Tribolium castaneum: one gene and its partner. The protein of the gene in region 2 purifies or fractionates together with the protein of the main gene of each other region. This does not show direct contact. Links are inferred from orthologs where the notes say so. Each region holds a gene or a part of one and is shown on either strand. Other genes may lie near its edges.

The links.
Region 1: the proteins of Asph (region 2) and leucine-rich repeat-containing protein 59 purify together in Homo sapiens (co-immunoprecipitation; 3 studies listed by BioGRID and IntAct, with this or other methods). This does not show direct contact. The link is inferred for Tribolium castaneum from reciprocal best matches to the Homo sapiens genes ASPH and LRRC59.

The regions. Positions count from the first base shown.
Region 1 is NC_087394.1:31,262,558-31,270,280, reverse strand, and holds leucine-rich repeat-containing protein 59, read right to left. Parts: upstream 3,404-7,723; 5' UTR 3,349-3,403; coding exon 3,253-3,348; intron 3,200-3,252; coding exon 3,140-3,199; intron 3,082-3,139; coding exon 2,236-3,081; 3' UTR 2,196-2,235; downstream 1-2,195. Other genes in the region: alpha-L-fucosidase, read right to left, coding at 1-14, 65-203, 249-453; DDB1- and CUL4-associated factor 11, read left to right, coding at 3,876-4,000, 4,207-4,297, 5,620-5,724, 5,776-5,935, 5,984-6,130, 6,178-6,356, 6,409-6,748.
Region 2 is NC_087403.1:496,057-504,980, forward strand, and holds the start of Asph (aspartyl/asparaginyl beta-hydroxylase), read right to left. Parts: upstream 5,328-8,924; 5' UTR 5,116-5,327; intron 1-5,115. Other genes in the region: mav (bone morphogenetic protein 7), read right to left, coding at 6,990-7,750.

The DNA of each region.
Region 1 (7,723 bases), on a different chromosome or scaffold from region 2:
TTAGCACTATGTACCTAATAATTATTCAAGCATTAGATTTTTTGTGTACGTTAGTGTAACGTACTTGGCCCCGGATTTGAGAAAGAGGTTCACCCACATGAAAGGGTCGTAAAATTCGGCGGTAAATTGCTGGGCAAAGTCTTGGTAAGTCCAGTCTGGAGGGTAGTTTTTCTTAATAAACTCGACAGTTTTTTCGTCACCCGCTGGAAGCAAAAATTTTAGTTATTATAACTGGGGTTTGTACCTACATTCCCAGTGACTCCAAAACCATTCGCTCCCGAAACTGGGCACTGAGTAAACACCCCAGTGGAGGAAAATCCCGACTTTGGCTTTGTCGTACCAGTCGGGCAAAGGGCGACCGTCGAGGCTGTCCCAAGTTGGTTCATATTTTGCACTTGAGGCAAATTGTAATCCACACGAAAGTAACAACGTGAAGATAACGGTTTGGACCATGATTGCACCGTTTGAACCACTGTTGTTTGTTGTAATGTTTTCTACTTGTTCTCAACGAGCGATCGGTTGTTATCAAAAATATAATATTGTTTTCTTATCTGTAAGAGTCTTGTTTGTTTCATATGCTAGAGGCAAGAAATTAACTAATCTGTGCAGGACGCAGGGATGGAGTGGAATTCTTTAAAGCTTAAAAATGCACGTCCCATCGCTTTGTCTAGTCTAGTTACATTATTTTTGTTTAGTTAACCTTCGTTAATTTTTTTGCGTCCTGTTTTATTAACAGGATTACTACTATTAAAAAAAAAGATCGAGATGAATAAACTTTGTCCATTGTTGACTTGCTGAGTCTTGTTGAAGGAGAGTTGCTTTGGTAAGCTAAATAATACGATATTCTAAAAAATGGTTTTATTAAAATATAAATTACTGAACTTAATTTAAGATAAATGTTGCAGTTGTGCCGTCTTTTATTTTTTGATGTTTTTATAATTTTGTTGTCATTAGTCCATTCGTACTTCGACACATATCTGTCTTGCAGTCAACTTTAGCAACTTTATTTTAATCAAAATCATTATTTGTTTAACTATTGCTTTAACGGGTACACGTATTTTGTGTCGTAAACAAAGAAACTTTGGTGTTTTCAAGAAAATCTAACAACTAGGGTTTTCATCTCAATTCTATATTTTTTATCATATGTTGTAAAAGCAGAAAGTAGGATAAGGGTATTCCATTTTAATTTTTCAAGTTTCATTGTAAAATCAAAAAAATATTTGTAGTCCCTGAAACTACTACAAGCTCTAATGTAGTGAAGATTTTATATTTTTTTAGATACAATCGTACCTAGTAAATTTTTAAAAAGTTTTTTATGTGAAATTATTTTTAAAATTGAGCAAATCTGACGAATTAACACTTTTGAAACACTGTATTCTTGAAAACAAGCATTCAAAGTTCCATAATTAACTTCACTAATTCGCTGGGACACAAGTGATACAAAATTGAGACTGCAACAGTAGGTAAAAAAGGAGGCAGATGATCGTAAGTCAAATGTTTCTAAAACGCTTCTCCAATATGCAAATGTTATTTTAACGTAAATTTAAGATAAAACAAAAACTTACACTGCTGGGATGGTGGAATGTACGTAAATTTACTACTTATTTGGATTGATTATTGCTCTATTTATAGCCCTCTGCTCACTAGCGATTTTTTAATAGACCAATTTAAATGTTACCCAATGAAATAGTTAACTGTGCGCTCTGCACTTTTAGCGACCGATATGTTTGTGCTTTTTAATTTTCTAACATTGCAGAAAAATGAAAAACAAACGTGTGGGTTAATGCCATTACTAGTCAACGACTGTTTAAAGGACATTTTTTTTTATAAATTCTTTGAAATGTCAACGAACATCCTGAAAAATTCCCCTGATACGTCTATTCCCAACTTGCAGTTTGTTCTTCGTATCACACTAGTATTTAGAAGTTTGTCAGTTACGGAAGATTCTTCTGTAAATTATTTCACCACTCAAGGGTCTGTTCCATATGGAAATACGAAATAAAAGATGCATTTTTACTTATTATACAAACTAACCGGGCAAAGTGTTATTTATTTTGTTATGTAATTTAACTTGAATTAATTTTTGTCGTCGAATAGATTTGTTACAAATTTAAAAATTATTGGAAAAACTCTTAGGGCTGTGGTTATGGTAATGGAATTTTAACTTATTTTGTTACTGAATTAATAAAACAACGTTTGGTTTTTAGTTTTTATTCAAAAAGAATGTCTGAACTTTCAAGAAACAATCTTCTTGTACTGTTCTTTAACTTTCTGGACCATTGTATCTACATACTTACTACAGGTATCATATGCATTTACAAAATTGTCGGAATTTTTAACATAATTCACAACATTAAGTGTAACATTCCCAGTTTTGTCATGAGCAAACCTCACATAACTCCCCACAGTGGTTGCATAAACCTTCAAATTAGGAGACAAAGAATCAACAGCCTTGTAATACAAGTCTACACAAGAATTTTCAATAGTACGCGTACGTTCATATTTTACAGAAGTTAACACAAACAGAACCGACAAAGTAAGAAATAATAACGTAAAAATCAATTTAATGAAAGAGGACGCTTTTCCAGTATTCTTCGGCGAAGGTGGCGCTTTTTTATTCTTTTTGTTCGCTAACTTTGGCGGGTTTTCTTTAACAGGCCCGTTTTCCTTTTTCTGTTTGGTCTTCTCCTTCTTTTTACTCTTCTTGTTGTTATCCATTTGTTTCTGATTCACTTCAAGCTGCTTCTGTCGTTGCTTTTGCCGACTTTCTAAATCATTAGCGATCTGCTCCTGCACTTGAGTGAAGAAACTCACAACATCCTTTGCACAACTCTGACACTGTTTGGCGTCCAGACAAGGCCCTGCGACTTTGGCGACCGCTGGCACCAAGGGGTTATCTTTCAAATCCAACCACTTCAGAGCCTTGAACTTGTGGAAGCTCAGAGGCAGGTATTGCAGTTGGTTTTGGTACAAATCAAGATACTTAAGCTTGACCAAATCCCCGAAATCCTCCGGTAGCTCGCTCAGCTGGTTCTTGCTCAGATCGAGCTTCGTTAGGTGGGTTAGTGTCGCGAAGTTGCCCTGGAACGCAAAAATATGGCGAAATTGTGCCTTTTCGAAGCAACGATTTGGCGCTTACTGGCAAAGTTTTCAAGTGGTTGTTTGATAGGTCCAAGCTGGTGGCCTTCTTGAACACTGCCTGCAAAGCAAAGGGGCGTTTTTATGTCATAATTAAGGTGGAAACATCGTTACGATTTCTTTAACAGGAACATCTTGTAAATCTGACATGCTAAGGTCAATTTCTCCATCAGAAACGCGCTCTTTTACATTGATTTTTGACGGTGCCATTGCAAATCGTAATAATCTTACGAGTTTATGTTATCAATTAATAGAAAAATAGAAAACTAACCAAGAATTGAAAATCCACGTCACTGCTCCACTTCCACGAAAACGCAACTGTCAACGTGACAATCGCGCAGTGGTGCCAAAATCGCTCGCTAAGTCACCAAAGGCAGGGAGAAAGTGGCGAAACCAGTTTCCTTTAGCCCAAATTATTATGTAACACTCATTTTGGGTCAAAACGTATTATATGTGCAATAATTCAAGAGTGAAAATGAAAGTCGATTAGTTTTAATTTATTAGCGATGTTTTGGCAATCCTGAGTGGTTGCGTCAACGTGATGCGCATTTTGTCAAAATATTGTCATTTTTAATTGGCAAAATATTTCGGAAAATTTTGCGTTTCATTAGTGCTTTCCACCGATTTTTGTTTAGTGTTTGTGTAAGCGGTTAAGTAACCACGTTACATGACCGTATTATGGTGCATATATGAGGTGTTGTTACGGTCCTGAGTGAAAATTTCAACCCCTACATTCCATGGGATCTTACACTTCGAGGAGAATGGAAGAAAATGATCTGAACTCGAGATCTGGGTCCGAAGACGATTCTGATTACGAGACTGAACATCAGTATGCAGCCTTGCTGCAAAGTTTGATAAATAGGTGAGAGAATTCTTCCATGAAAATGTCATTGTACTTGCTGCTAAATATAGTGTAAAATTCAGGCTGAATTATTTATTTTCCGCGACAATGAACGATATTGATTTAACGTGTACAAATTACATAAACAAACCCGGTTTTTTTTCATTGTTTGTTACGTTTTTCCTATTATTTTGGTCAAAGGGGTAATAAATGTGCAACTTTTTCAGTGGTCAAGTGGAGATTATGGACGCAGATTATCTCACAGATGGTCCCAAAGTGCCAAAAATTAAATTTAAGCCAAACACTTCCATTCTTGATGTAAGTAATTTTATAATTTTTATTTTCAGACTGAGTACTACCTAGTCTCCGGTAAATCCCCTAAACTTTTTATGTATACTACATTACTACATTTTACATTTTTTTGTTTTAATTTCCCTTTAAATAAAAAATAGTTAGCTTCAAAATTTTCATTTCCTTTAGTTGAGGCTTTCAGCTAATTCTTTAAAGAGATTATTTCCCAAAAATCTCTATTAATACATTTATACAGGGTCGCTAAAAAGTATGGATACAGTTAAATATTTTCAGAACGGTTTAACAGAAAACCTTGAAATTAGGGAAACAGTTAAAAATGTTTAAATTCTATCATTTGAGAGGTTTTTTAAATCTCTATCGTCATTTATTTTGAAAATAGAAGGCTAACTTAATTTTTTTTAATGGCACGAATATCCACCTTTATTTTTATTAAAAGGTAAAAAAATAAAAATTCAAAAATTCATTTCTGGATTTCTGGAAAAGTAGCTTTGAAAATACTGTTATTTGCGATCTGACATTTGTATATTAGCCAAAAATTAAACTTGCGTGCAATAAATAGGTTAACAATGGTACATTTAAGTAAAACTGAGGGAAAAAAATTCATGTTGGTTGCTCATGGCGACAGAATCCCAAGAAGTTTGTTGGAAACATTTTGAATATTTTTTAATTAAAATGTGTTCTTTTTCAATTATTTTAACAATTATTTTTAACTTTTACCTATTTTAACTCAGAAAAAAATATTATTTAAAAATATTAAATATGACCCTTGTTGCCATTGAAAAAAATCAAGTTAGCCTTGTAGAATTCATATACTCTTAAGCATATACCAAATTTCAATGAGTTTTGATAATAGTTTTTGTTATTCAATATCTTAAAAGAAATGGAAAGAGTAAATGAAAAAATTATAGCTCATATTTATGTAGAATGTCGTTTTTTACGAAAATAATAATGGTTGAGTGTAAATATCTTTGAATTCTTTTTTTTTAGTCTTCGTCCTTTGCCTTTAATTTTGGAGTTACGTTAATATCGGAGTATGAGTGCATGTTTCATCATTAATTATTTGTTTTAAACTGCATTGTAATGGGTAGTTTATACCTTTGTTTGTTGGAGAATTAATGAAATTCTTGGAAGAAATTTTACCAGATAGGTGTACACGCAAATGACATCATTTCGTCAATGCTCTCTTGCATCGGTTTGCAAAATTGCTGAGTAACGTTGTTTAATCATTCGTTTTTTATCAACATTTTGAATGATACGGAAGAAAACAAAATAAACACAAAAATCTGATCTAATATACGTTTCTAATTGTTTTCTTATTATTATTTTAGAAAAGCGAATTTTCATTGTCGACCAAAATGGCTTCAGGTTTAGGACAACAAAGCCGAAAAATTACGTCTTCGCAGAATATATCAGATATGGTTTTAAATAGAGAAGTAAGTTATCTGGCAATTTTAAAAGACCTGACTGTCATAATACAATTTTAGAAAGGCGTGTGTTCTTATAGGAACTTTTCATACGCCGAAAAATGTAGACTAAGCAATAGGTTTTTGCCAAATAGTATGTCGGTGTTGTCTTTTTACAATGGGAAAGTGTTTTGTGGTATTTTCTCGAAAGATGGGAAAATGTTCATAACCGCGTCTCAAGGTTTAACAGATTGGTTGTTTTTCCCGAAATGAGTTTGAAACATTGCAGATCGACAAATCCGATTATACAAGTCGGACGATGCGTCCTACAAACTGTTCAATACTCTGAGTGCAAGAGACATAGGTTGGAGTATAATAGACGTTGCAATAAGTCCCGACCAGAACCAGTTCGTGTATTCGACTTGGTCGTCGTCTTGTAAGTCTCCCCCTGTGGGGAAAAGTCGTGATTGCGTTCAATTCTAGTACATTTATGTTCCGTGAACGAGAGCAGCCACCAGGAGCCCCTCTCTCTCACCAACACCAGTCGCCGTTTCTGCGTCTTTTCCGTCGTATTCTCGTCCGACGGCAAGGAGTTCCTGTGCGGTGCCAACGACGGTTCCTTGTACATTTACGATCTCCAGAGGCGCGGGCGGACGCTAAAGGTGAATAAGGCGACACTTGCGTAAAAATCTCCGACTTGCTGTTTGTATATAGATCCCAGCTCATGAATATGACGTTAATAGTGTTGCTTTCGCTGACGATTCTTCCCATATAATTTACAGCGGTGGAGATGACGGTTTGATTAAGGTTTGGGACAGGAGGACGTTGGATGAGTCGTCGGTTAAACCGGTCGGAAAACTGGCCGGACACATGGACGGGATCACGTTCATCGATTCGAGAGGGGACGGAAGACACTTGATTTCCAACAGCAAAGACCAGAGCATTAAGCTGTGGGATGTTAGGATTTTCTCCGGGGAAAGGGCCGCCGAAAAGTCGCTCAAGGCTGTGCACGAGCAGACGTGGGATTATAGGTGGCAGCAGGTTCCTAAAAGACGTAAGTAAACATTAACTTTGTTGAAGAATCTCAAAACAGAATTTTAATGTCGAAGCACAGTTTGGGAGAATGTAACAAACAATACAGTTATTGAAATCTACGTTACTCAAATTTTTATTAAGGGAAAACTTCGTTTAAAAATCAATTTAATACTTTAAAATCATCTGTAAATTTATAAGTATTTCTTCAGAAAAAAATGGGACAATTCTTTTAGTCTGGTCTGCTATTTTTATTTCGTAGTTTTACGTTAATGAGTGACAATTTTTAACACAATATTTATTTAACAAGCATATCCGTTACTCATTTCGCCGGGTTGTTTTAAATTTTCTGTGAAAAGCATAGAATCTTAAAAATTCAATAATTTTAATAGTGTTTTTTTTGGATTAAGGATTTTTATTCAACAGTTGCTTCATGAACTACAATACCTTATTATTGTTAAATTCTGAATTGAATTTAATATGAAACAATTTCAATCAAGGTTTCAATAGGGTACCTATTTTTGAACTATTTATTAGATTATTTAATACTGATTTAAAAGTTTTATGTATTAATTCAATTGGCTATTGTTATGTATTATCAACGGTTGTGGATGTATTTTTTTAATAATATGTGTGTAAAACAGAACATGAATTGCATTTTTAACAAAAATGGATAATAGTAGATAAATTATATCAGACAAAAGAATGTTTATCTTGTGTATAATTTTATCGCATATTGTGTTTGTTTCGTATTTGTTTCGTACTTACAGGATCAAGCCGTGCATAATAAAAAAATAATAATAATACACCTACGGTAATTGGTCAACTTTTGCAATAATTTTGATCTGAATTATTTTTATGAAAAATCTCTTAATATCGTTCCAAAATATCGTTTTTTAAAGAAAAAAAATTAAAGTTATGTTTCTAAGTAATGAGAAAATTCAACTGAAATGCAAACCTAAAAATTATTTCTCTTAAGCTTACAACAAATATTATT
Region 2 (8,924 bases):
TTTTAATTTTTTTTATTTTATCATTTACGGCTAAACTATTCTAAAAAGTGGAACTGTTTTGATCCATACCTATGCAAAATGATCCGGGGAATCGATTGGCATCGAGAAAATTGCCAAATTCCCAATAGTTTTTTAGTTATGAATTTTTTAAAATTTTACCAATTTTTGCATTTAGCAGCAGTTTGCTCGAAAACTATTAGTCAGAGAACAATAATCTTTTTTGAAAAAAATAGATAATTTAAAGAGCTTTCCAACGATAATACACTTCATGGAGTTATCTCTAATAGTTCCGGAGCTATTGCTCGAGAAATGTTCCGGGTACCCAAAACCGACAAAAACTGCGACGAAAATTGAAAAAATCAAACATCAAAAAATCGAACATATGGACTTTTTGTGGACTTTTAACAACTTTTGTGGGTTGTTAAGACATGTAGAAGTCCATAAAAATTTACTGGAGTGAGTTTAAAAAATTTTTTTTTTTCACCTCTTTGAAGGTAAGTTTTATTACTCAGGAAATTTTAGCAAAAAATAACAAATTTTTAAATCTCATGAAAAGTTCGTATAATACAGAAAATGAGCCGCTGAATTCAATGGAACAAACCGCATTGCTCTACGACCTTTAGTTTTTGAGTTATGAATTTTTTTGTTGGATAAAATTTTCCACTATGACAAATGGCTACCCTAAATTTAGGCAAAAAATTTTAAATTTTTAATTCTTGTGAAAAATTGATATAATATGTAAAATGAGCCGTAGAATTCAATCGAACAAACCGCAATGCTCTACGACTTTTAGTTTTTTTTTTATGAATTTTTTTAGTGAAAAACTTTGATCGCCTCTGTAGCCGGAACCGTTGCCCGGAGCGGCTCCGGGTTTAATCGAAAAAATAGAGAAAATTAAGCGCTATCAGATGGTTTTTTGTTCGTTGCTCTAAGTCTTACAGTTTCCGAGAAAAACGCAAAAAAAGGTTTCCATTTTCACTTTTTTTCAATTTTCAATCGCTAATTACGGCGAAACTATTAGAGTTATCGAGAAACGGAAAAATGGAGGATAACCGGAATAAAAAACTCTACAAAATGGCATAGGACTCAAGGCGATATCTCGCAAAAAATTTTTCAATTTTCAAACGCCGATTACGGCCAAACTAAAAGAGCTAGGAGAAAACGCTTTTTTAGATCGGAAAGAGCACATCGAAATCTATAAAATAGAATTGGTTTTATTTGATTTTGAGACACTTTAAAATTGACCGATTTCTAAGGGGGGGGGTGTTAACTTTTTTTTAATTTTTTTTATTTTATCATTTACGGCTAAACTATTCTAAAAAGTGGAACTGTTTTGATCCATACCTATGCAAAATGATCCGGGGAATCGATTGGCATCGAGAAAATTGCCAAATTCCCAATAGTTTTTTAGTTATGAATTTTTTAAAATTTTACCAATTTTTGCATTTAGCAGCAGTTTGCTCGAAAACTATTAGTCAGAGAACAATAATCTTTTTTGAAAAAAATAGATAATTTAAAGAGCTTTCCAACGATAATACACTTCATGGAGTTATCTCTAATAGTTCCGGAGCTATTGCTCGAGAAATGTTCCGGGTACCCAAAACCGACAAAAACTGCGACGAAAATTGAAAAAATCAAACATCAAAAAATCGAACATATGGACTTTTTGTGGACTTTTAACTTTAAAAAATTTTTTTTTCACCTCTTTGAAGGTACATAGTGAATTATTACTAAAAAAAACAAATCTAATCACAAAAGCCAATGTAATGTCATTTAAATTTTTGGGTGAAACGAAAAAGTGACGTAATGTGGACATTTTTTTAGAATGTTTTAACAAAAATCCTCCCATCAGACCAAAAGATTGAATTCCTCGTTCAAAAGCAAGATACAGCTAATAAAAAAAAAAAATGTCATTTTCGACTTTCAACAAATGTATGTCAAATTTATGAGTTTTTGACCGAAAAATGTACTAAAACGCTCGAAAATTATATATAATATAATATAATATAATATAATATAATATAAAATTATATAATGAATTAGATTGGGAGTCAATCAGAGCGATTAATTTTTGGTTCGAATTGGTTACAAATGGGAAGGATTTAGTGTTAGGCCCAGTTGGTCTAAAGGCAGGGTCCCCTAGGGAGCAGTTGACCACTGGGCACGCGATCATCCTCTTGAAAGTCGATTATTCACTCCAGGCCTTGGTGTTTGCTTAATGTAAATGAAGTTCGCATTTAAAGCGTGGTTAATATTTTCGAAAGTGCCCCGCAATTAAAATATATTGTTCCGTTTAAATCCAGAGAATAATAAATACAAATGTCAAGAGCATGTCATCGAATAATGCAAAATGCCAAAAAAACGACCCCTCGGTTCGAGTCGAGCGTTTTAATTGTGTCAAATGTAAAGTAAGAAGGGTTCGTCCAGTGTTCAATCGTCGCAATTAAATTCAAATTCGAATCGGCACCTTTTCTTTGGGGTTTCACACTAAGTTATGAATTCATAAAGTTCACTAATCGCCGCATTGACGCCATTAGGCGAAAACAATAATGAAAATAAATATGCGAACGTCATTTCTGAATGGAAAAATCTGATTTAGAATCGACAACAATTCGTGATTGTTAAGTTTACGATCCGTGAAGAGGCCAGATGTCGGGCGATTTTGTTGATTTGGGGGTGGGTTGCGTAAAATGACCACTGTCCACTTAACTGCCCCGACACGCTCCGTGACTATCTGGACGCTTATTAAAACAACATCGGATTTTTTCCCGCCTTGTAACAAACAATGCTCGAAATTACAAAACGGGCTGATTGAATTAGAAATTTCGGCATTTTCGAATTACAGATTGAAAACCGATCAATCACATCTATAAGTGCTGGGGTTGGGACTCGATAATCGAATAGAAAATTAACGACTCCTTCAATAAAACGTCGCTCATTTGATAAATTGGCTAGGAATGATTGGTTATTTTTAAACTGCAACTGATAAGTGGCTCTCACTCTGGATGATCGTTGATCGAAAATCATAAAAGTACCGCTGCGATGTTTTCGTTAAATCTAACTTAGTTCATTTGCAGGCTGGGCTAGTAATTAATAAACAAATAAAAACTAGGTTATATCAACAAATGCAATGCTATTTTTCAATGACTATTGAAGTAACTGTGAAAACAATAAAATAATTAAACAACTTAATTAGAGTTTCGATCGTTCAAAAATTGTCCTGTTTTACATTTCAATTTTTAAAGTGAGTTAAGCATTTGTCCACAATTAAATAAAAAAATTAATAAATAAATGTACATTCTCTGTTCAACAAAAAAACTATAAACTGCACAGACACAGAGTGTTGTTATTATTCTTGTGTAATAAAATAAATTCGATATAAATTTATAAAAAATGGATTTTTATGAGGTTAAAAACTTTATTTAGAAGTCAAACAAAGTCGAAAAAACAGAAATTAGGTGTTAAAATATGGTAATCTAGTATACATTTTTTTTTTCATTTCTACAGCAAAAATACCAAAAACACAATTTTTATTGCAAACAAAACTAAATATGTTTTGGAAAAAACTTAAAATTTTCTGTTGCACAAAGAAAAGCAATAAAGAATAATCGTTGAACCTAAATTGTTTTGAATTTACTGGTGTAAAATTCGTTAGTTTTTTTTGTAAGAATTCATCTCACTGTAAGTCTTAGTTTGTCACTAACTAATTTTATTATGCTATTTACTAAACTTTAAAAGAGAGAAAGTAAGTCGTTTGTTAAAATGGCCACATTAAAATAATGTTGTGCTTTTGTAAGTCCTTGTGAATCTTCAGAATTAAAAGGCAACGTTAAAAAATAATTTAATATACAACTATTATTTCCCCCTAGAAAGTAAAGTTACATTCAAAAACTGACATTCAAAGTAAGTAGCATTAACGCTGAGAAACTAAAAACCTGAAATACAAATAAACTAAAAAAATGAGAAGAATTATAAAACTGATATACAATCAGTACAATACATATACAATCCATACAAATGGAAAAGAAAAACAATAATAATTAATGTGTTCCGTCTTCATTGTTACAAATTTAAACAGGTGATAGAACATTCAATTTTAAGAAAAAATCTAAAGTTAAAAATTGAGCTAAAAAAACAGGTCAACACAAATATGGAATCAAGATAATTTGCTTTCTGAAAAACATAATTATTGCGTTTGTCATTTTTTAAGTAGCACTTTTTCAAAAGGCCATATTTTTAAAAGATCGTCGTTTTGGGTCTACATTTTACATTTACATTTTTAAAATTGTGTTAGGCATTGATTGGCTCATTGGCCTCAAATTAAAAAAAAAAACGAAAATATAAAAGAATATATATAAAGGAATTCAATCTGACATTTCAAATGTCAATTCAAATTAAAAAAACGATGTACAGAGTGTTCCAAAATACCGTCCTTTTTTTGTTTTATTTTTTTCCACAGAATATTTTGCACAAATCAGTACAAGGGTTCCCCCTCGTGTGTTGCAGTTGAACCGTTATTCCATCCTTGGTTGAATTACAGGTTTCTGTAGCGGCGCAACTCAATTAAATATAAACTAAATTAATATTTAAATTTTAAGAGCCCCAACATAGGAATAGTTAAATTAGAAAATTAGTTAAGTTATTAAATTAAATAAATTTTTAACGTAAATTTATGTTTATATATATATATATATATATATATATATATATATATATATATATATATATATATATATATATATATATATATATATATATATATAATATATATATATATATATATTATTTCTGTAATATATATTATGTAAGCCGATGGTTACTCAACTTTTTTCGAATTAATTTTTCAAAAAAAAAACACTCCATTTTTTTGACTAGTGTATGGTTATATATATATTTAGAAAATATATTTCTAATATTATCATCGTGGCGACAAATATTATCACTTATCAGTTACCCACCTCCACAAACTTTCATAATCATAACCATTCACTAGTCAAAAAAATGGAGTGTTTTTTTTTTGAAAAATTAATTCGAAAAAAGTTGAGTAACCATCGTTACCTTGCTTACATAATGTGAGGTTATGTTATATAATTTTTGCAGATCATCACCACTTACCTGGAGTTAATTATCCTAAGATGTATCATTGGCTTTCCCACTTTTATTGCAAATCATTATTTTTTTACCTAAATAGGGAAAAACTCAAATTATACAGTTTAAAGCAAACGCTTCAGCACTTCTCAAACATGATTTTACAAAACTAGTAGGCAAATAAAAATACAGTTGAGACAAAAGTTTTTTGCGGTCAAACACAAATTAAATTTGTTATAACAACAAAATATAAATAAACATTAGAAAAAATCAGATGTAGGATTCTACACTGACAGCGCGGTTCGGGGCGGGACGTGCTGCCCTCTACAGATTGATTTATTTGAGCGGCTTTTTTTTAAATATTTCAGATTCCTAATACTACTTGCTTTTTTATACTACCGAACGATTTTAGTTGATGAGAAGGTAAAAAAGCTGAAAACTTTATTGAAAAAAAATATTCCAAAATTTTTTTCTCCCTATAAATAAAGACCGTATCTTAGGAAACTTCTATAACACGTAATTTTTAAGGCTTCTCTTGAAACTGAAAGTAACTCTGATTCGTGAAAAATGTCAATATTTGACACAATTTTATTTTTCTTGATTTCCTAAATTGACTTATTTTCTATAAAGTTGTGTTTAAACTTTCTAATTTAAATAGGATTTCATTTTGGTAGAAAAACATCTGATATTTCAATTTAATAGTTTTGCAATCTCAAACTTTCTTATTATTTCAGTCACACAAATTTTATTTTTTTCAATATTTTTCAGCTTTTTAGTTTCTTAATTTCCTAAATTTTTTAGGTCTTCTTGGTTTCATTATCTTATAATTTTAGATTTCCAATTTCTTAATGTTTTTACTTTATAATGCTATAGTTTTTCAATTTCTCACGAAAGCAGAGCTTTATTTTAGTTAAACTACCTTAACAAACGACTTACTTTCTCAGTTTGAGATTTTAACAAATAACATAACAAAATTGAAAACAAAGTGTTGAAATGAAGAAATGTTTTATCAAGATAAATGAGAGACAATACAACGGGAAATAACCAGAAGATTGTCAGACAGCATTTTTGTTGGTTGAAACTTTAATGAAAACTGTGGAATGGAAAGAAATTACAACAGAATTTTTTTTTAATAATTTTAAGTATTTTGGAAAGTTTGTTGTAAATGATTGTCGCAATCATTAAATTTTCAAGTAAGACCAATGGTTTCTACAAAAATCTATTACAAAAAAAGTTTATGTGATACATAATTTTCGTTATTATTTTTTGATTCAGAAATTTATAATAATCATAATTACGGATAGAAGGGAAAAATTATTTTTTTGCAGACCAGTGTTATCAGTGGCGGCTTGTTGGTTTAAAATTTCCAAAGCAAAATGATGCCGTAGTAGAAGACTATTTTTTGCAAAAATTAAAAACAAGGTTAAAGCGAAGAGAATTAATTTTTGTGTTTTTTGGTTCTGAGTTTCTGCCCTTGTATGCGAAAAATTTAGTAAACAAAATAAAAATATAGTTTTCTCTTGATTCACCTGGCTCGTCGCCATTGCAAAATGTTACACTATTTATAGCTTTTCTTATCAGAATTACAACACAACAAATCGAAAGTAGTGATAAAGGCAATTCGATTCGTGTCAAGGGAAGGGTGAAATAAAACTAAAGTGTGCAAAACTGGTAAACGTCATCACTCATCAGTACATCAATACATTAACATTAAATTAAATATAAAAAGATGAGTTAAAATAATACTTTTAGGCTACTTTAGATGAGAAATTATAAATAACTGAGAGATGATCGATAAATAGAATACAATTAATATCACAGTAACTTAAGAGTTGATAATTGATGCAGAAATGCTAAATTGACCCGTAAATTTTTCCTAAATGTCTTTGGCATTGTCTGTACTAGGAACACGCGCATTCTACCACTTGCATATTATCCCATTTCTCCACGATAAGTTTCGTGGTGTCGCTGGGGTTAACCCTCAGTATTTCGAGGGGCTCCAGCTTCGAGGGGGCGCAGCAGGCCTTGGGGACCGCCCTGCGGTTCCTCTTCCCTGTCTTCCACTCCATCTGGTGCAGGAGACTCTGTATCCGGGAGTGGTTGGTTGCGTAGTTGAAGTTAGGGGGGCACTGTCCCTGGCAGAACCCCGCGTCATAGGACTTGGGCTGCACAATGGACCCCATTTCGATGAACCGCAGCTTGGAGAAGGTCACTTCCATGTCGTGCCGGCAGCAGACCCTCCGGGCCCCCTTCCGCAGCTTCCTGCAGTCCGTCCGACGCAGGGACTGGTAAGGGGATGCGCGTTTTGAGCGTCTGTGTTCGGGGTGCACTAAAGCACTAACAGCGGCTTGCAGCGGCTTCAAGTAGTTATTTCTACACTCGGGGCAAACTAACTCTAAACCTAGGTTCCTCTCGCCGTTCAGCCAAGATTGCACTGCACTTGTCACTTCGAATTCGCACCATTTTGGCAGAGTTGGCGACAGGTGGATCAGTTTTTCTTCGATAACGCGACGACGTCGCGCACTCAGAATTTGAGTCACTTGGACGCGGAGGGACGTTTGGTTGCCCGTTGCGGGGGCAAGGACGTGGAGTTGGGCGCCTTCCACCTCCACACGCTGGGGGCGCATGGGAAACTTCAGACGCGGCCACCAGTCCCTCTTCACTAGAAAAAACGAAAAATTCATTATTTAATCATTTTAGGTATTCTTCTCGAAAACTGTTAGTCACAGAACAATGATCTTTTTTGCTTTTTTGACAAAGATAGATAAATAAAAGAGCTTTCCAACGATAGTAAACTTAATGGGTTATTATTACGTCTACTAGTTCCGGAGTTATTGTCCGATAAATGTTCCGAAAACCGACCAAAATCTCGCCAAAAATTAGAAAAATCAAACAACAAAAAATCGAAGCGGTTGCCTTTTTTGAAGTGCGAATGTGAAAAAATGCTTTACAAACAAGTTAGGTACAATATTTTTTGTAAGCTCTCTAAACGTTATAAGTACAAAAATTTTTTTTTTTAAATTTGTAATTTTTAATTTTGTAGAACTCTGGTAATAATGCGTAAAACGAACCGTAGAAATCGCTGGAACAAACAGTTATGCTTTATGACTTCTAGTTTTCGAGTTATAACAAACCGTTTTCTCTATGGATTTAGTTTTCGAGATATAAATTTTTCAGTAAAAAAAATTAAAAAGTCTTTGTAGTCGGAACCGTTGCACGGAGCTGCTCCGGGTTTTCACAAGATAGATAATGTCAACCACATTATGATACTTTTTTGATTTTTGCTTTTATAGTGTCCAAGAAAAACACCAAAAATATGTTGAAATTTTGTTTTTTTGACATTTCAAGCATCGATTTCGACGAAACTATTGGTGTTATCAAAAAATGTCAAGTTCTATTTGAACCGGTTTAAAAAGCTCTACGAGACGGTAAACCCTGATTACGGCGAAACTAAATGAACTAGAAAAAACGTCTTATTTTTTTGTAAACGGCACTTCAAAAAGATAGGATGGGTTTTAATCGGTTTTGAGAGTGGAACTATTTTGATGTAATAAGCCTACGTAGGATGATCCGGGGAATTGATTGGCGTCAAATAAATAGCCAGATTCTCAATAGTTTTAAAGTATTTTTTTTATTTTACTTATTTTGGCTTTGTTTGCAATCTTCTCTAAAACTATTAATGAACAATGATTTTTCCAACGATAATAAACTTAAGAGTTACGTTTAATATAATTCCAGAGCTATTACCCAATAAATGTTCCGGGAACTAAAAATCAAGCGATATCTTGACAAACATTAGAACAACCAAACTTAAAAAAATCGAAGCAATTAACTTT